Linked DNA regions of Nothobranchius furzeri. Each later gene encodes a partner of the first gene's protein in a complex. Links are inferred from orthologs where the notes say so. Each region holds a gene or a part of one and is shown in the gene's direction. Other genes may lie near its edges. The genes, in order: phf20a, ogt.1, kansl2 and KAT8 regulatory NSL complex subunit 1.

Region 1 (4,175 bases):
AACTTCACATCAGATTAGTTCCAATATAACTAAAAATGGCTGACAGTGTAGCATTAAGTCAATGTAATAAAATGTAATGGTCACTTTGGTCTGAAATATCCTGACCTTATGCCACGCTCAACTCATTCTTCCTGTAGTTGCATGACGGTGGAAACACCTACAACAGGGTTCCCTTCCCCAAGGGTCGGTTTCCAGCACGTTTTAGTTGTTTCCCTGCTCCAACACACTTGATTCACTTGTTCAGCAGCTCATTTGGCTCTGCTAAAGTCTATTAAGACACCTGCTGAATGAAATCAGGTGTGTTGAAGCAGGGAAACAAAACATGCTGAATAGCATGTTTTAGTTGTTTTAGCCCTCAGGGAAGGAGTCTTCTACCCCAGTCTACAAGAACCAAATGTCCATCTTCTAGAAGCTGGACTCAGGACTGAGGAGACTCAGCTCTTTAAATAAGGCGGTTTGTTCTGAATAAAGGAAAGTTGTAACTGTTTCCCATCTCTACAAGTTAGGAGGCTGATGAAAATGTCTCACCGAGATAAAAAAAAAAAAGATCCAACCTTATTTTAATTCACTTCATTTTTAACCATAAACTAGCAGTAAAACACATAAAACGTAAATCCCTCCTCCAATTGGAACGCTTAAATTGTTCGTTGGACGCGCATGCGCACTGTAGTTTTACGGTCCCCGCGGTGAGGCTAAAACAGCCCACCCGCAAAGATCTGCATGTTCCGTCGCGGGAACGCGCATAAACAGAGTTCAAAGGTAGACATGGAAGATGTTTACAGATGTTTATTTACGGGAATTAGATGCAGCCGTTACTTAGTTCAGATACATTTAGAATAATTTGATGATGAAAATGTTTAACGTATGCATCTTTGTTTTAGCGACATGGATTATCTTCTCTGTAAATAATAATCTGCAATAATCCGAGTAACCAGACGAAGAAAATATTATTTCTATAGCGCCTCTCAAGAAAAAAATCACGAGGCGCTTCACAAAAACAAAAAATGTAAAAATATTTTTAAAAAATCGAAAATTATTAAAAATATATTTAAAATGAGCAAAAATAGGCAATTGTGATAAAAAATGAAAGAAAGAGAGAGAGTGAATAAGAAAGAAGTGAGTGGATCCTGAGGGAGGTGGAATAGGTGGGGAGAGCAGAACACGCATCATCTGTTTTAAGCTGATGTTTATACATGACACGTGCTGATGAAGTCCAACTCACTAGTTATGACGTAGAAAGCACGATGTCACCCTTATTTACCACGAACAAGAGGTTTGCGTTTATTTCTATTCGTTTCTTTGGAGTGCGCGTTCCCGCGAGAAGGTACGAGAATCTCGACAAGCACGCACTTCTCAGCACAACACCGATGAACAACAGAGAAATTCAACTGCGTGGTCTGGAGCAGACAGGCGGAGGCGGCGGGATCTGCGCATTTGAAGGATTACGCTGCACATTTTTTACCCAACCAGCCTGCTAACGAGAGACTGGGAAACAGGTAGGCACGCCGAGTCATCTTCAGACCGCGCTTTTATGTGTTTGCTGCGCCATGAGCGGGCCTGCCTGGCGGCTGCATCATCTTCATCCACGGTTTGATGCCGCATGTCGGCTTTCAGAGTTCAAAACAAACGCGACCAAGTGGGTAATAACAGGCTCCCCGGGAGCGTGTCTCTGCTCGGTCTTCGCTGACTCGTGTGTTTCTATAATTACGGATGCGGGTCTTTTTACCGGGTGACTCTGCGTGTTTGTTGCGTTTCTCTGCTGAACAACTTTGCCGCGCTCCGTTTCCACGCCGCTCGTTCACGGTAGGAAAAGTACGGAGGTTAGGCCCAGCGCGAGGCCAGAGCTTCCCTGTGAGTGACGGCTTCATGCGTCCAATCAGGCATGAGGTCACGCCTACTTTTTTGTCGGACTCGGCCAATCACATGTGTGTAAAGCACTGACGTAGGGCTCAGCTTCTCGCGCTACACCCTACAGTTATAAAACACCAGACAATAAAGTGTCAGAGAAGAAAGTTATAAACAACCGATCGGCTGGAAATCTTTTAGGATACGGTTTCATTTTGTGTTTCCGGTTAAAATCACACTCGCGTGCGTTCATGTTTTGAACCTACTAACAAAAACAGCCCGTATGCGGCTCGTAACCCCGATTTCTTTTTAACATTCGGTTGAAAATGCAATAATCTGTACTAAAAACGTGCATATGACCTCCTTTCTTCAACGTGAACATTGATTTTGACATAATTAACGCTGGTTGCTCCTCCTCGTCTGGGCTGTCATGTTCGGCTTCCTGACCGCCATTAAAAGTCCTTAGATTAAGGTAAAAATCCTGTATTTGATGGAGTGGAATTGTGTCCAGATATAATGGTGGTTTTATTCTAGCTGCAACAGGCGGGAGATGATAAGCCTTTTGTCTCCTATTGTGTCTGCGTGAAACGGACTAAGCAGAAAAACACGTGGGCTGAGCGGCGCGTAGACACATCCGGTTTGTAGGCTGCAGTGCGTTGCATTCATACACCTCCATGATGGCGGGCCGAGCCGGGCGGCTCTGAATGTGAGCCCGGCCCCTGTTAGGTGAGTGGACCTGGACCAGTTAGATGAGTGACCCTGGTTAGGTGAGTGGACCTGGTTAGTGAATCTGGTTAGGTGAGTGGACCTAGCTGGACTCGGTTAGGTGAGTGGACCTGGACCAGTTAGATGAGTGACCCTGGTTAGGTGAGTGGACCTGGTTAGTGAATCTGGTTAGGTGAGTGGACCTAGCTGGACTCGGTTAGATGAGTGGACCCGGTTAGGTGAGTCGACCTGGACCTGGTTAGGTGAGTGCTCAGAACCGACAGCTTCAGGTGTTTGGTCCTCTGACCTCCAGATGAGGAGGGGCACTGAATCTGCATGTGACGTCATTCCTGTTGCATCTGCTCATCTGAATATTTGACCACCCGGTCTTCTCCACATACTCACCACCATTTCAGAGGCCTGGCTCACCTCGGTACTACACCTGTGTGTGTGTGTGTGTGTGTGTGTGTGTGTGTGTGTGTGTGTGTTTCCAGATAAAATACATCCCCACAGCCTGGCTAGTATTATTGCTGTGCTTGTGTACAGGAAGGCATCTCACGACCTTAGTGTCAAACCTACCTCATGATGAGTGGACTGACTTGAGGGTGTGTGTGTGTGTGTGTGTGTTTGTGTGCGCTGTTAGACACACATTACTATGGGGGTTGGGGTTTACCAACGAGCCTCGTTCTTTAATAGTGTGTTAACTGTTGTGTGTGTGTGTGTGTGTGTGTGTGTGTGTGTGTGTGTGTGTGTGTGTGTGTGTGTGTGTGTGTGTGTGTGTGTGTGTGTGTGTGTGTGTGTGTGTACAGGAAGGGAGCCTTGATGTGGGCAGTATGACTAAGACGCCCCCTAACAGAAGAGGGATAACATTTGAGGTGGGAGCTCAGCTTGAGGCCAGAGACAGCCTCAAAAACTGGTGAGTCATGGCCTCGTTCATCCCCCTCATTCCTCATTTACATACATTCATCACACGTTTAATGAAGGTCTGAAGAGTTCGGGTTCAGCAGAGCATGGATGATTTATTTGGTTTCATGTAAATCATAAAAGAATGTTTACATTACACACACACACACACACACACACAACTTCCTTTTGTAAATGCAAGTTCACACATTAGATATTAATCCCACTAATACTGGCGCATCATCCAGTCATCTGAGGGTTGGCGGTTCAATCCCAGCCTTTCCTGTCACTTTGTGTGTGTGTGTGTGTGTGTGTGTGTGTGTGTGTGTGTGTGTGTGTGTGTGTGTGTGTGTGTGTGTGTGTGTGTGTGTGTGTGTGTGTGTGTGAGAGAGAGAGATAGATGTAGCTCACCACCATCAGAGTGAATGAATAATGGATTCTCTCTAAAGCTCTTTGGCTCCTTTTTTATCATATAAGGTTATTATCGTCTCATTTAGGGCTGGGCCATTTGGACCAGAACCTGTAGCTCCACATCTTTATTCCTGTTAGGTATTTACAAGTGAACTCATTTAAATCTGAATTAACCAGCGAATTAAGTGCATCCTGGTTCTGCTGCCATCCACCATCAGTCTGAGCTGTGGGAACACTGGTGCAGTTGTCACACGTAGCTCTACGGTGCTGCTTACTACTGCTCTTATTTTCTGTCTCGTCCGTCTTCATAA
Region 2 (4,076 bases), on another chromosome or scaffold:
GCTTTGATAATTAAACAATGCAAATAATGGACACCGCTGATTTGTGTTGGGTAAATGGGGTCAACCACAGCTGATTCTAGACCGTTTTTTGAGCTTGCTGCTGTTTTCGTGTGTCTGTTCGTTGTATTTAGAGTGTTTTGTCTTGCATGTTTCATGAATATTTTGTTCACTGGAAGCAATGACGTAAAATCTGATAGCGGTAAAGGAGAAAAATGGCCTTTTTTGGAATGATTCAGAGTGTGAACATTAGTGGACAAAGAGCTCCCATCCAAGACATACAGAGTTTACAGGTTTCTTTAAACCACCTTTGCCACAGAAAAGAATCTCCTGGGCAAGAACTGAGATCAAAAAGTGGTCAGATCTTTTAATGGTCTTTCAAGCAAGAGCTTTAAACACTTAAAACAATTGCTTCTCTCTAAACCTCCTCCTGTCTTTAGACGTTAAAAATGTTTACATATTGAAGATTTTGCCCACAAGCTCTAATGGAAGTGTACGTCGTGTATTGACAGCACTGCTGTCACAGCAGGCCATATTGTGTGTTTTCTTGCCAACAAAGATCCTCCTATAGACTTTCTCCATCCATGTTGGCACCTACAGGCCTGCCGGATGATAGCTAATGTGATTTCATTTAATTTGTGTAAACGAGTGTCAAATGGGTGCTTCATGGACTTCTTACTGATGTATGGAGTTTCGAATTGTTAGGAAAAGGTGATTTCTGTTTGGTTACCCAAAAACAATTGAGTTCTACTTGAATGACTTCTTTGGTGTGGAAAATGTGTTGATCCAATGAAAAAGGGTTAACACATTAGCATGAGATGTCTTCTGCTCTGCTGAGATGTGATGATGAACACCGCGTGGATCCCGGTTTCATTAAGCAAACAGTGAAAAATAAATTAGCAGCCTGAACGCCATGTTCTAGTCGTGCACCGGCTCAGCTCACAGCATTCGTCCTTTGTCTCACTGCGCAGTGAGATCCCTCCGCTAGATAGTATTGATACCCACATTTGTATTGCTAAATGTATGGCACATAGTTGAAATTTTGGGGTTTCCGCACTATTTCGTAATGAAATACGCATATTAAAACTGTACGCATATTTAATCAAAAAACTGCCAGAGGGACCTAGTTTCTCTCTCATGAAAAACGAGTTCCCCTCATTTCGCCATTTCATGTTCCGCTGCTTTGTTGGGAGCAGGAAGACAGCCAGGTAGACTCTTACAGTGAACAATAGAATTTCTGTGATATTTAGTTATAGCAACAGCGTGATTTGACCGGTTAGTTAATCTTCTAATAAACAAAAAACACTGCGAAGGTGTTTTAATCGGATTTTTAGAAAGCTAAGTAAGCTAGCATTGCTAACTCGACGGGCAGCGGGCTAACTTTCAAGCACCGAGAATACGAGACAGAACCGTTTTTTTCCTGGGGCTGTTATTTTTCAGAAGACACGTTGACGACCACCGCACAAGACACGAAGACCGAGGAGATGGCGAGCTCAGTTGGAAATGTGGCCGACAGCACAGGTAGGCTGCTTATATTGCTAACTAATGGAGCTAGCTTGTAAAATAGCATTTCCTGCTAACGCGAGGAAGCGATTATTAACTGTAAAAATGATCATAATTAAAAATGAACATGGTTACACATGTTATACGAAGGCTTTAGGCCTACACTAAGTAACAGCTGTTTGTATAGGAAAGTGTCGCACAATTAAACCAAATGCGCCGGGTCTGCGCGTGTCATTGCCCCTTAACGTGGTGCTAAACTGCATATTACACGGATTACGTGTACATTTATTTTATTTTGATAGCGTGTAAATAGGATACTGCGATGAGGTTGGGGTACTGTGTTTTATATTAGCGTCAAGTTATTTTTTAAAGAAACCGATCCGGCATGGCGGAGAGTCCTGCTGACCCAGTCCGTGCAGACCGCACCGATGCCGCAGAGAAAGCTGAGGTTTCCTCCCAAAACTGCATTCCAGCTGAGTAATAATGAGTGGGACGTTGTATGAAATAAATCAGTCCTTTTCTCACGTTTAGGAGCGTGGTTACATAACTGTGAAGGGAAGGAAACTAAACCATGACGATTTCTGCTGCTGGTATTCTGGCTATAATACAATTAACTTTTTATGTATATTGGTCTCCATGGGGTTTTTATTTAGGTGATGTGGAATTGTAAGATCTGATTGCAGTGTAAATTAGATATGCGTTTGGACAACTGAAAAAAAGTATTTCTTTATTAAACCACCTTTGCCACAGGAAATAATCTCCAGGGCAAGAACTGTGAGAACAAAAAGTATGGTCTTTGAAGCAAAACTAAATAGTTATTAAATACGTGTGTTAGTTGGTTTCATGTAAAGTTTTATCAGCTGACTGCTACTGGCAAGTTCTAACATGATTGTTTTTGACCAGCATCATTTAAATTAGAGACATATTCAGATGTAATTTAAAAAAACATGTTAAAAGTCTGGCTTGGCCAGATCAGATGAGCAGTGTTGAAATGTCTTTGTAAATACATTTGGCCACACCTTTCCTTAGAAACCTGAGTTACAACAATCTTTCGTTTGATTTCTGGACTCTAAAGGCATTGATCTAAGTTTGTTTGGGTGGAGGAACTTTTCCAAAAATGATCTCTGTCTTTTTAAAATGTAATCATGTGATTTTCCTCCACATGTTCTCTGCCACTCCCTATTTCCTCTAAGCAAATATGGTTAATAATGGTAATGCATATGTGATGAAGATCCTTTGTAATGCCTGGACTCCAGAATGCCAACAGGATTCTAGAACATCTCCCTCTGTGTCATTCCCTTACCCGCTTGTTTATTCATCTTATCAATTTTCTTTTTTGTTCTGTGAGTGATAAAATATATTTGCATTAATATTGGATTGTTATTTTTGTGCTTAATAATCTCTAAGCACAATAAAACAGATTAAAATGAAATTATTTGATTAATTCAACACTAAATTGATTCAGTCAGCATTACGTTTTATTTTGCCGACAGTAATTTTAAAATAAAAGACAAAGTTTCATAAAGGAGCAGTTCATTACAGCTATTCAACTCACAAATCACTCTTAAGATTTGAATTATAATGTTATCGAATACAACAATGTTTTAAAAATGATGGTTTCCAAACATTTTCTATTATATCACCTTTGATTTTGTGACCCTTTGATTTTGTTTGTTGCTCCATTTTCTGTTGAGTTAAAATTGTTCTTTATTGAAAGCTTTGCCATCTGTTTGTTTTTCATTTGTCTTTCATTTATTCCATCACCTCTAACATGTCGTTTTCCCCCCCCTCCTTGGCTCATGTTGGTGCTCCAGAACCAACAAAACGTATGCTTTCCTTCCAAGGGTTGGCGGAGCTGGCGCACCGCGAGTACCAGTCAGGGGATTTTGAGGCAGCTGAGCGTCACTGCATGCAGCTGTGGAGGCAGGAGCCTGATAACACAGGCGTGCTTTTGCTTCTGTCTTCCATTCACTTCCAGTGTCGAAGACTTGACAGGTGAGGTGTAATGGGAAAGGCTTTAAGCAGAATGTGGTGTGGAGATGGCAGAACTGTATTGGGCTTCTGGGTTTGAGGTCGCACTCATCTGAGCTGGGAGATCAAGTTAAACATCTGAACTCTGTGGGAAATTTAGTTTAATGAGGTCCCCCCCCCCAAAGTCCAACATGGCTTTGTTCTTCGGGTGCTGTGGTTTAAGTGTTGCTTCATCCTTAATTCCCAAACGGAGGGTTAAACTATAAATTGGAAGTTTTAAGTTTGATGTTTTGTTATAAATGTAATAATATTGCACTTATTCTCTTCCTTCAACCTTTCTACACGTTTCTGTCGCCTCTAGCAGTAAATGATAGTAACTGTTGCCTCTGGGCTCCTGGGTTTTTACGGTTTGCTCCTGTTTCTGCCCTGCAGGTCCGCTCACTTCAGCACCTTGGCCATCAAGCAGAACCCAATGCTTGCTGAGGCCTACTCCAATCTGGGGAATGTGTACAAGGAGCGCGGTCAGTTGCAGGAGGCCATCGAGCATTACCGCCACGCTCTGAGGCTGAAGCCAGACTTTATTGATGGATACATAAACCTGGCAG
Region 3 (4,003 bases), on another chromosome or scaffold:
AAAAACATCTATTATGCTTTCCGATCACCTATGAATGTTCAGTATGCAACAGCACAATAATACAGTATCAAAAATAATCATGTGGTTTCTGGAATGTCAAAGCCGGTGGTACACAACTTCTCTGGTCTCATGTTCTGATGTTTTTATTTTCTTCTATTTTTATATACTAGGTTGTTCGTAACCCATCTTCACACTGTTCTTAAATTCGCATGTGTTCTGTAAATTAGTAAAATCCTAGATGGCATGCTGGCTGTCGGTATATCTCCGGTACAGGTTCTTGAGCATGAAGTCACTTAGTGATTGTTTAAATTTGATGCTTGGTTTTATATTTGTTGGTAGGAGATTCGGCTGTCATCTGGACATTTCATCCATATTGGGCTTTATATGGGTTTGGTTGTGTAGTATTACTGCTTTGACCTTATTTTTATGTTGTCATATAAAGTGGTTAAGGCAGTTTACAGCAATGCAGTAGAACAAATCAGCCATGCAACTACATTTTTGTTCCCTTGAAATACATGCTGGAAAAGAAATATTTCTTTGCTCAAGCAGCAGATGTTTTACTTCAATTTTTTGTTGTAACTGGGAATTGGTTAAATGCACTGAATATTTATCTTTGTGGGTTTGACTGCAATGTAATTGACAAAGTGTTAATTTGTACAGTGGGTAAATAAGGAAAGTGAATTTCAAATGCATTTTTTAAAACATGAGCTATGTGGTTTGGAGAAAGCGTTGAACTTGAGTATTAACATGCTATGGGGAAAATCGTGGAACACATTTTATTATAAAAACCTATATATATATATATATATATATATATATATATATATACAAACAGAAGACACTCATGCAACCTAACAATGCAAAAATCACATTTTCAATAGTCTTAAGTTTCATGTTTCTTCTTGTCTTGGTGTTTTTATTGACACTCAGGTCTGGAAATAAAAGTTTTTTTCATTAAGTTATATGTAAACACTGTTCTTTTTGATATGTGGTTGCTTTATTCTAAAAGTCAATAAATATTTTAAATACATTTTTGGTTTTAAGTTTTACAATCACCCGTCAGTGTCGTCTCAACAAGTTTGCCTCCGAAATGAGTGACAGTTGGATTAACCAATAAACCGTCTGGGTGTCTCCCATCCTGACCAATGAGAGCTTAGAGTGGGCGGGGCTGCCGACATGCTGAGGAAACTGCACGAAGGTTAGCATTGTGCTACATGTCTATTGTGAGGACAGCAGACGCGAGAGGGGCGAGCAGTTTTACTTCACACAACGGGTATTGTTTTACATCTTAATGTCAAATTATTTCAATAACACTAAGATGAATGTCTGACTGTTGCCATCTATCAGAAAAGCTAATTCCCTCGCTTCGAATTATTCCAGTTGTCAGTCAGCTGCCGTTGTCACTAGCTACACAAAAATGGCGGCCCATTAACTGCAGGATTTGGAGTGACGCAGTGAAGAGGCGGGTTTAAGCTCGTTGTAGTCTCCTATTTCCACATGTTTTGAAGTCCTTTTCGTCGTTAGCGTGGCCTTTCGTTTGGGTAGACCAGCGACGGTTTTCTGCTCTGTGTAGAACCTCGATACTTCTTGTCTGGTCCAAAATTAGAGAAATTGTTAGTAGTGTGGAGAAACTATTGCCGCGTGTGTTTGTTTACTGTAAGTATGAAACTGTTTTATGTTGTTTACCAGCTTTAGCTAATGTAGCTGTAGATTTGTTTGCGTTAGGGACTTGGGATTTAAAAACTGTATTTTGTCACAGACTGTCAGTTTTGCAGAGGTTTTCAAAAGAATCACAGAAACAATCCGCGTATTAGTCAGTGGGTGTATCACTACTGTTACTGTCAACAATATTATGGCATAATTTCCCAATATCGTGCGGCCTTGTGGAAATAGAAGTGGACCAACATAGATAAATATAATCTATTAGAAGATTACAGATAGAATAATGAACATCGATGTTCCCTTAGAAATGCTCTTGAAATGTCCTCACACCATGTCTGCAAAGGATGTATCTGAAATTGTCATCGAAGAATACATACGGTGATGTTTTTGGCTTGTAAAGAAAAGATGTCCACATATTTTTTAATTAAATATAAAAAGACAACATTTAGACTGTTCCTTTTTCTACAAGCAATAGAAAAATGGCAGTGTGAAAATGATCAATATTCACCACTGATTATAAATTGTCTCTAAAAATATCAGCTTAATAGTAAAAATGTACATATAGTATTTTATTTTGAACCAAATGATTGTTTACCATTTTGCATGAACGTGTTCGCTGACTTGCTGCTTCAACTTTCTGGAGCAGTAGGGTACAACCCTGGTCCTTGTGGGACCCTTTCTGGCACGTTTTAGAGGTTTCTCTACTTCAACACACCAGCTTTTATTCAGTGGGTGGTCAATAGGCTTGATGACCTGCTGAACAGGTAATTCATCTATTGAATTAGGTGTGTTGGAGCAGAGAAACAGATAAAACCTGTAGGATGGTGCCCCTGAAGACCAGGGTTGGAGTCCCTGAACTAAGGAATACTCTACCTTGACCGAGTCTACTTAAACCATTTTCTCCTAAAGTATTTATATAAAAATCCATGTTAATGATTTTGTGGATACTTTTCAGGCTTGAAATGAACAGGATACGAATCCACGTCTTGCCTTCGAGTCGTAACCGGGTGGCCCAGACTCGTCCACAGGAGCCCCAGGCCTGTTCCTTCACCCTACGACCGTGTTCTCAGCCACGTCTGGAAGGTTTGGAGTTCTGTATTAAACACATTCTTGAAGACAAGAATGCGCCATACAAGCAGTGCAGCTATGTCTCTGTCAAGAACGGCAAGCGCTGCCCCAATGCAGCTCCAAAGGCAGAGAGGAAAGATGGGTAGGCAGAAGTTCACACATTCATCAACTTTAAGGCTGTTTTCACACCTGCAGTTTGGTTCCTTTGGTCCAAATTTCTTTGTGATTTTGTTACATTACAGGGGTTTTTCTGCGCTTCAGTTTATTTTTGTACAGAAAAAAATAAACATGAGACCTCACTACAAACCAAGTGAGACTGTTCAGTCTTCTGAGTAGTCAGATAGTCTGGGGAGTGGCTACAAACGTAAACACAGGAAGAAGCTTGTGTGTTGTGATCATGAGCTATTTTTGAACCCTTTGAATGTGTTTTTATGATTCAGAGATAATAAATCTTGGCATCTGTCCAAAAATAAGTGAGTTTATTTGGAACCACTCGGCGACCACCTCCTGTAGCAGGTCTCGGTATGGTTTTGTTATGTACCCTAGCATCATCACTAGGAATGTAAGAAAATTTCAATGCACTGAAAGGTTTCTTGTTATGATATTGAATTAATGTTTAATAGTACATTATATGAACATTTTACAATGAAATTATCACAAAAACACCTAATGTCTCAATCATAATGAAAGGAAGGCTACATTGAAACAGATCTGCTTCTCAGCAGGCTAAAGGGTTATTGGTTATTCTCCTTTCACAATGCTCAAAGAGGAGCGTAGTCGTTGTTTATAATCAGAGCTCGTGGCGTTGCCAAGTCTGTTGATAAACTCTGCGGTGCCCGTTTTTGTAATTCGACACCAGCCGGCAAATACCTGAGTAGTATTAAAAGTGGAGAAAACCACATGTGATAAGTAGCAGCTACGCTGGGGAGAAGAGATTGTGCAGTGTCATATATGTGACTTGTAATTTGTAGTCATTTTAATTACAAATGTTTACAAGCTAATATCAAAGTACGCAAAAGACATCGTTGAAACACTTTTTTTTCTCGTTTAAATTGAAGTACAATATATGTGTGAGTCAGGACGTAAGGCAAAGCGGATTAGAAAATAGCATTAATTTGTCTTTGTTAGGAAGACCCATGAGCCGGGTGGGGGTGGGGGGGGGGGCTTCAGCCTTTAGACTTTTTTCCACCGGACGTTAAGTGTTGTGAAAACAGCCATGAAACATACTTTGTGGCAATTAGCCACCGTTATACGGATCCTATGTCCCCATCCC
Region 4 (3,564 bases), on another chromosome or scaffold:
TGGAACAGACATCCCTTTAACCCAGAACTGTGCTTATTGGGAGATAAATCTCAGTTGCCTAATGTAAATAAGTGTAATTTTTCAATCATCTCAGTGGGATTAACAACAGCCTGTGGAGTCATTTTAAGACACTGGAAAGCAGTAGAATCTCCAGAGGTTAAGGAATGGGTCTGTGCAATGGCCGAATCTGCATCATGTGAATGTATGCTCAGTAGTAGTTGTAGTGAGTGAAGACAACAGAGAGGGAACTGGGATGGATTCTGGAACTTTATAAAGACAAAGGCCTTGGGTGAAATCAAGCACGTTATGTGACTGCTGTTACTCAGACATTACGTGTCTGCAAGAGTTCTATGATTGGGACCTGTATCCAAAATCAACTGTTATATCTGTATATTTAGTACCTCCATGTTTAGTATCTATTGAGACTGCTATGTACCAGCCCCTAAAAGAAAGTTCAATACAAACTTGAATAAAAAAAAAAAAAAGAAGTGAATTGGAAGTCCAGTGGGCAGTATCCACCACCTCCATCTTGGCCACGTCATACGTCTTGTCACTCCAGGAAAATACAAAAATAGAGCTGTGAGGGTGGAGGGCAGGTAATTGACTCCCATCAAACTCTGAGCCGAGGTGGCTACGAGCTAACCAAAGCTAACGGAGGTTGGTGGGTGCTCGTATCCAGAAAACTGCAATTGACCGACTGCTACCCTTAGCTTTGTAGGTTATAATGCTTTTAAAGGGTTCGTTACGGTGCTTGAAATCCTTGACAATGCTTTTATTTTAATAACATGTTTTCAAGGTATGGAAAGTGCTTGATTTCTGTATTAAGTATTTGAAAATGTTTGAAAAACAAACTTCAGTTTTATATTTGTGATCAATTTAGTTTGATTAAAAAACAAAATTTGTAAATACTGAAAACTAGAGTTATCATTTTACCTTTAATAAATGCTGCTGCTGCTGCTCCATGGGGGTCGGCTCTTTTCTGTAACACCGGTGTGTGAGCAGCAGACTCCAGCGGTGTCTTCTGGCTTCGCTTTGTAGCAGACCCACTTTAACTATGAAACATATTTGCTTGTCACGCGCGTGTGCTTTGGTTCTAGGATCCAGCGGGATGTGATGCTTAGTTATGCAATCAGGACTGTAGCAGGGTACCCAAAACAACAGTAGGAAAGATTTTTTTCGCTGCTAAGTTTTGGTACTTTCCCTGTTATAAGCTGCAACGCCCCACTCCTCCCAATGCTGCGGTTCACATCAGATGTAGGCTGCTTTCTCGGCCACTAATTTTGTTTACAAAACATCTCCGAGTTCGTGAACTAATAAAATACCAACAAAAAAAAGTTTCGGCTGCATCTTGTTGAAGTAAACAGTAGAACTAAATGTAACGTGTTCAGATTTGTTTCACTAAACATAGAAACACCAGTCATTTAATAAAGCACTTGGTCATTCATCGCGTCTGTTTGTGAACCGAAGCTTCCATGTACTGTGTTTGGTTGCAAAAGCAGACCAGACCTACTGTGGCAAGCCATTTTATCATTTATTCAGCAGCAACACCTACTTGTAATACCTATGATACACAGGGACAATATAATTCAACCTAGTCTGTCTCTCTTGTCTCGTCAGGAAGACCATTGATAAAAAATGTGTTAATATTACTAACATGTTTGATTATAGCTTCATTGCTTAGAATTAAAATAGTTTAAAAAGTGTGTGGCTGTGTTGTGCGATAAACATCACCAGGATACACGCATGTTGCGGCTGGCAGGCTCGCTCTTCCCTGCACCTGTAGTGCTGGATGTGAAAAAAGTGATGAGAAAGCAGCTCCTTCATCGGCTCCAGGAGGCTGCACAAACTATTTGCAACCACAGTCATTCAGCGTGAATAATGTACTGCTTTCCTGGTTGTGTTTTAGCTGTTCATAGGCAATTTCTCTCTCTGTGTTAGCTAGTTGTGTGTTTTTGTTTGAGTTGCTGCTGTGAACTGGGAGAGCTGGGTGTTTGGTTTCAGGGTGGCAGACTAGAACTAAAAGCAGATGGTTAAAACTAAGACATCCTTATGTTTGAAATTCTTTCTGAGGATGAATTTAAAAGGTCTTCCTTGTTGCTTTATAGTGTTATATCTGATCTCTTTCACCTGCTTCCAATTTAAAATAATGTGATCAGGGCCAATGTCCAATCCTGTGATTGGATAAGATCGTCACTGTTAATGTGAGGTGAGGTGAAACTCTCCTCTTGAGTTCTTGTGTATTGTCTTGTCTTTAACGTATGATGCTTAAGAAGTCTGAAAATTAACCTTGGAGACGCTTGAATTTGTCACTGGGAAAAGTGTAACAACCCTGTTTTAACATGAGGCTGAGGTTTTTCCCTGGAAACCCAAAATCATCCGCATGAACCTGGTCTAGCTGGCTCTGTGTGATGTCACAATCAGATGTGGTTCTGATCCAATCAGCTTCAGATGAAACACAACCCGTGTTCTTGGAACTGTCGATGGTCACAGGAGTTTTACTTTGAAGGAACAAATCTACTTCTGCCTGAAAACAGGAAGTGAGTTTATGATCAATCAGATGGAGGGCATCTAAGTGTCCTTTACTTACTGGAATAAAACATGTAGTGTTTAATTTTCAAAAAGTTTTATTAAACAAAATGTCTGATTTCATAAACATGTATTTGGGGTTATTTATGAACAGTAACAAAAACCAGGCTCTGGAGTTTTAGGGCTGATTTATGCGTCTCCGTCTGCGTCAGTGTGGAGACACGCAACGCCATTATCCGTCCTTGCGTAGGGCCCTGGCAGGCACGCAAGTACGTACGGAGTCGAGCCCACTTTTCTAAACATCCGTCCGTCGAGATGGAGAACGCACGCTTGTGATTGGTCAGGGCATCGCTGTCGTCTACACCGCCGCCATTGCGCCCTCAAAAACATAAAAAGAGCCGAGAATAACTAGCGGCAGACACGGAGAAGCTTGAAGAATACCTCGCGAAAAAAACTATAAACGTTTAATTCCCCCGTAGCTGGAGGAGTGAAAAGATGCGCAGCAAGCGTTTAATTTGTGGACGGAAATGACAGGAAACGTGGGTTTAGAGGTGGGGAGCGCATGAAGGGGTGAAGGAGAATGAGAGACAAATTTGTCCGTGTTAAAAAGTCTCTTATGTACAAAAAACACAATATAAACACACGATCTTGGACCGATACCTGACAGGATACCACAGAACAGCGCTACGCCCTCTGTTGTCCTGGCGGGGAATTGCTTTGCAACACTCTCCAGGAGACGGAGAAGTATGAGAGCAAAACGCTTCTGTCTGTCCGTGCGTGTCTGTCCCTTGCGGAGCTGACGGAGAAGCATGAATCAGCCTTAAGATCAAGTGGGTGTTGACCCGCTTCAGCACTGGTCTGATTTGTGTGTTCTGATTGGTCTTCCAGCAGCAGCCCATCAAGCGGCGGCGAGGTGAAAGCTCGTTTGACATAAACAACATCGTGATACCCATGTCGGTGGCAGCCACCACCCGGGTGGAGAAGCTCCAGTACAAAGAGATCCTCACACCCAGGTAGAGACTGCGTCCAAGTGTGGTT

The links.
Region 2: phf20a (region 1) and ogt.1 share a complex: the UniProt entries of both Homo sapiens proteins name them as parts of the NSL complex. The link is inferred for Nothobranchius furzeri from reciprocal best matches to the Homo sapiens genes PHF20 and OGT.
Region 3: phf20a (region 1) and kansl2 share a complex: the UniProt entries of both Homo sapiens proteins name them as parts of the NSL complex. The link is inferred for Nothobranchius furzeri from reciprocal best matches to the Homo sapiens genes PHF20 and KANSL2.
Region 4: phf20a (region 1) and KAT8 regulatory NSL complex subunit 1 share a complex: the UniProt entries of both Homo sapiens proteins name them as parts of the NSL complex. The link is inferred for Nothobranchius furzeri from reciprocal best matches to the Homo sapiens genes PHF20 and KANSL1.

Annotation. Positions count from the first base shown.
Region 1 is NC_091743.1:40,242,615-40,246,789, forward strand, and holds the start of phf20a (PHD finger protein 20), read left to right. Parts: upstream 1-1,342; 5' UTR 1,343-1,496; intron 1,497-2,960; exon of another isoform or gene 2,961-2,983; intron 2,984-3,359; 5' UTR 3,360-3,383; coding exon 3,384-3,466; intron 3,467-4,175. UniProt on the Homo sapiens protein: Methyllysine-binding protein, component of the MOF histone acetyltransferase protein complex.
Region 2 is NC_091741.1:100,472,148-100,476,223, forward strand, and holds the start of ogt.1 (UDP-N-acetylglucosamine--peptide N-acetylglucosaminyltransferase 110 kDa subunit), read left to right. Parts: upstream 1-1,265; 5' UTR 1,266-1,481; coding exon 1,482-1,518; intron 1,519-3,314; coding exon 3,315-3,495; intron 3,496-3,903; coding exon 3,904-4,076. UniProt on the Homo sapiens protein: Catalyzes the transfer of a single N-acetylglucosamine from UDP-GlcNAc to a serine or threonine residue in cytoplasmic and nuclear proteins resulting in their modification with a beta-linked N-acetylglucosamine (O-GlcNAc).
Region 3 is NC_091755.1:57,565,266-57,569,268, reverse strand, and holds the start of kansl2 (KAT8 regulatory NSL complex subunit 2), read left to right. Parts: upstream 1-1,142; 5' UTR 1,143-1,214; coding exon 1,215-1,273; intron 1,274-1,329; exon of another isoform or gene 1,330-1,656; intron 1,657-2,617; coding exon 2,618-2,872; intron 2,873-4,003. UniProt on the Homo sapiens protein: Non-catalytic component of the NSL histone acetyltransferase complex, a multiprotein complex that mediates histone H4 acetylation at 'Lys-5'- and 'Lys-8' (H4K5ac and H4K8ac) at transcription start sites and promotes transcription initiation.
Region 4 is NC_091756.1:53,931,859-53,935,422, reverse strand, and holds part of KAT8 regulatory NSL complex subunit 1, read left to right. Parts: intron 1-3,414; coding exon 3,415-3,539; intron 3,540-3,564. UniProt on the Homo sapiens protein: Non-catalytic component of the NSL histone acetyltransferase complex, a multiprotein complex that mediates histone H4 acetylation at 'Lys-5'- and 'Lys-8' (H4K5ac and H4K8ac) at transcription start sites and promotes transcription initiation.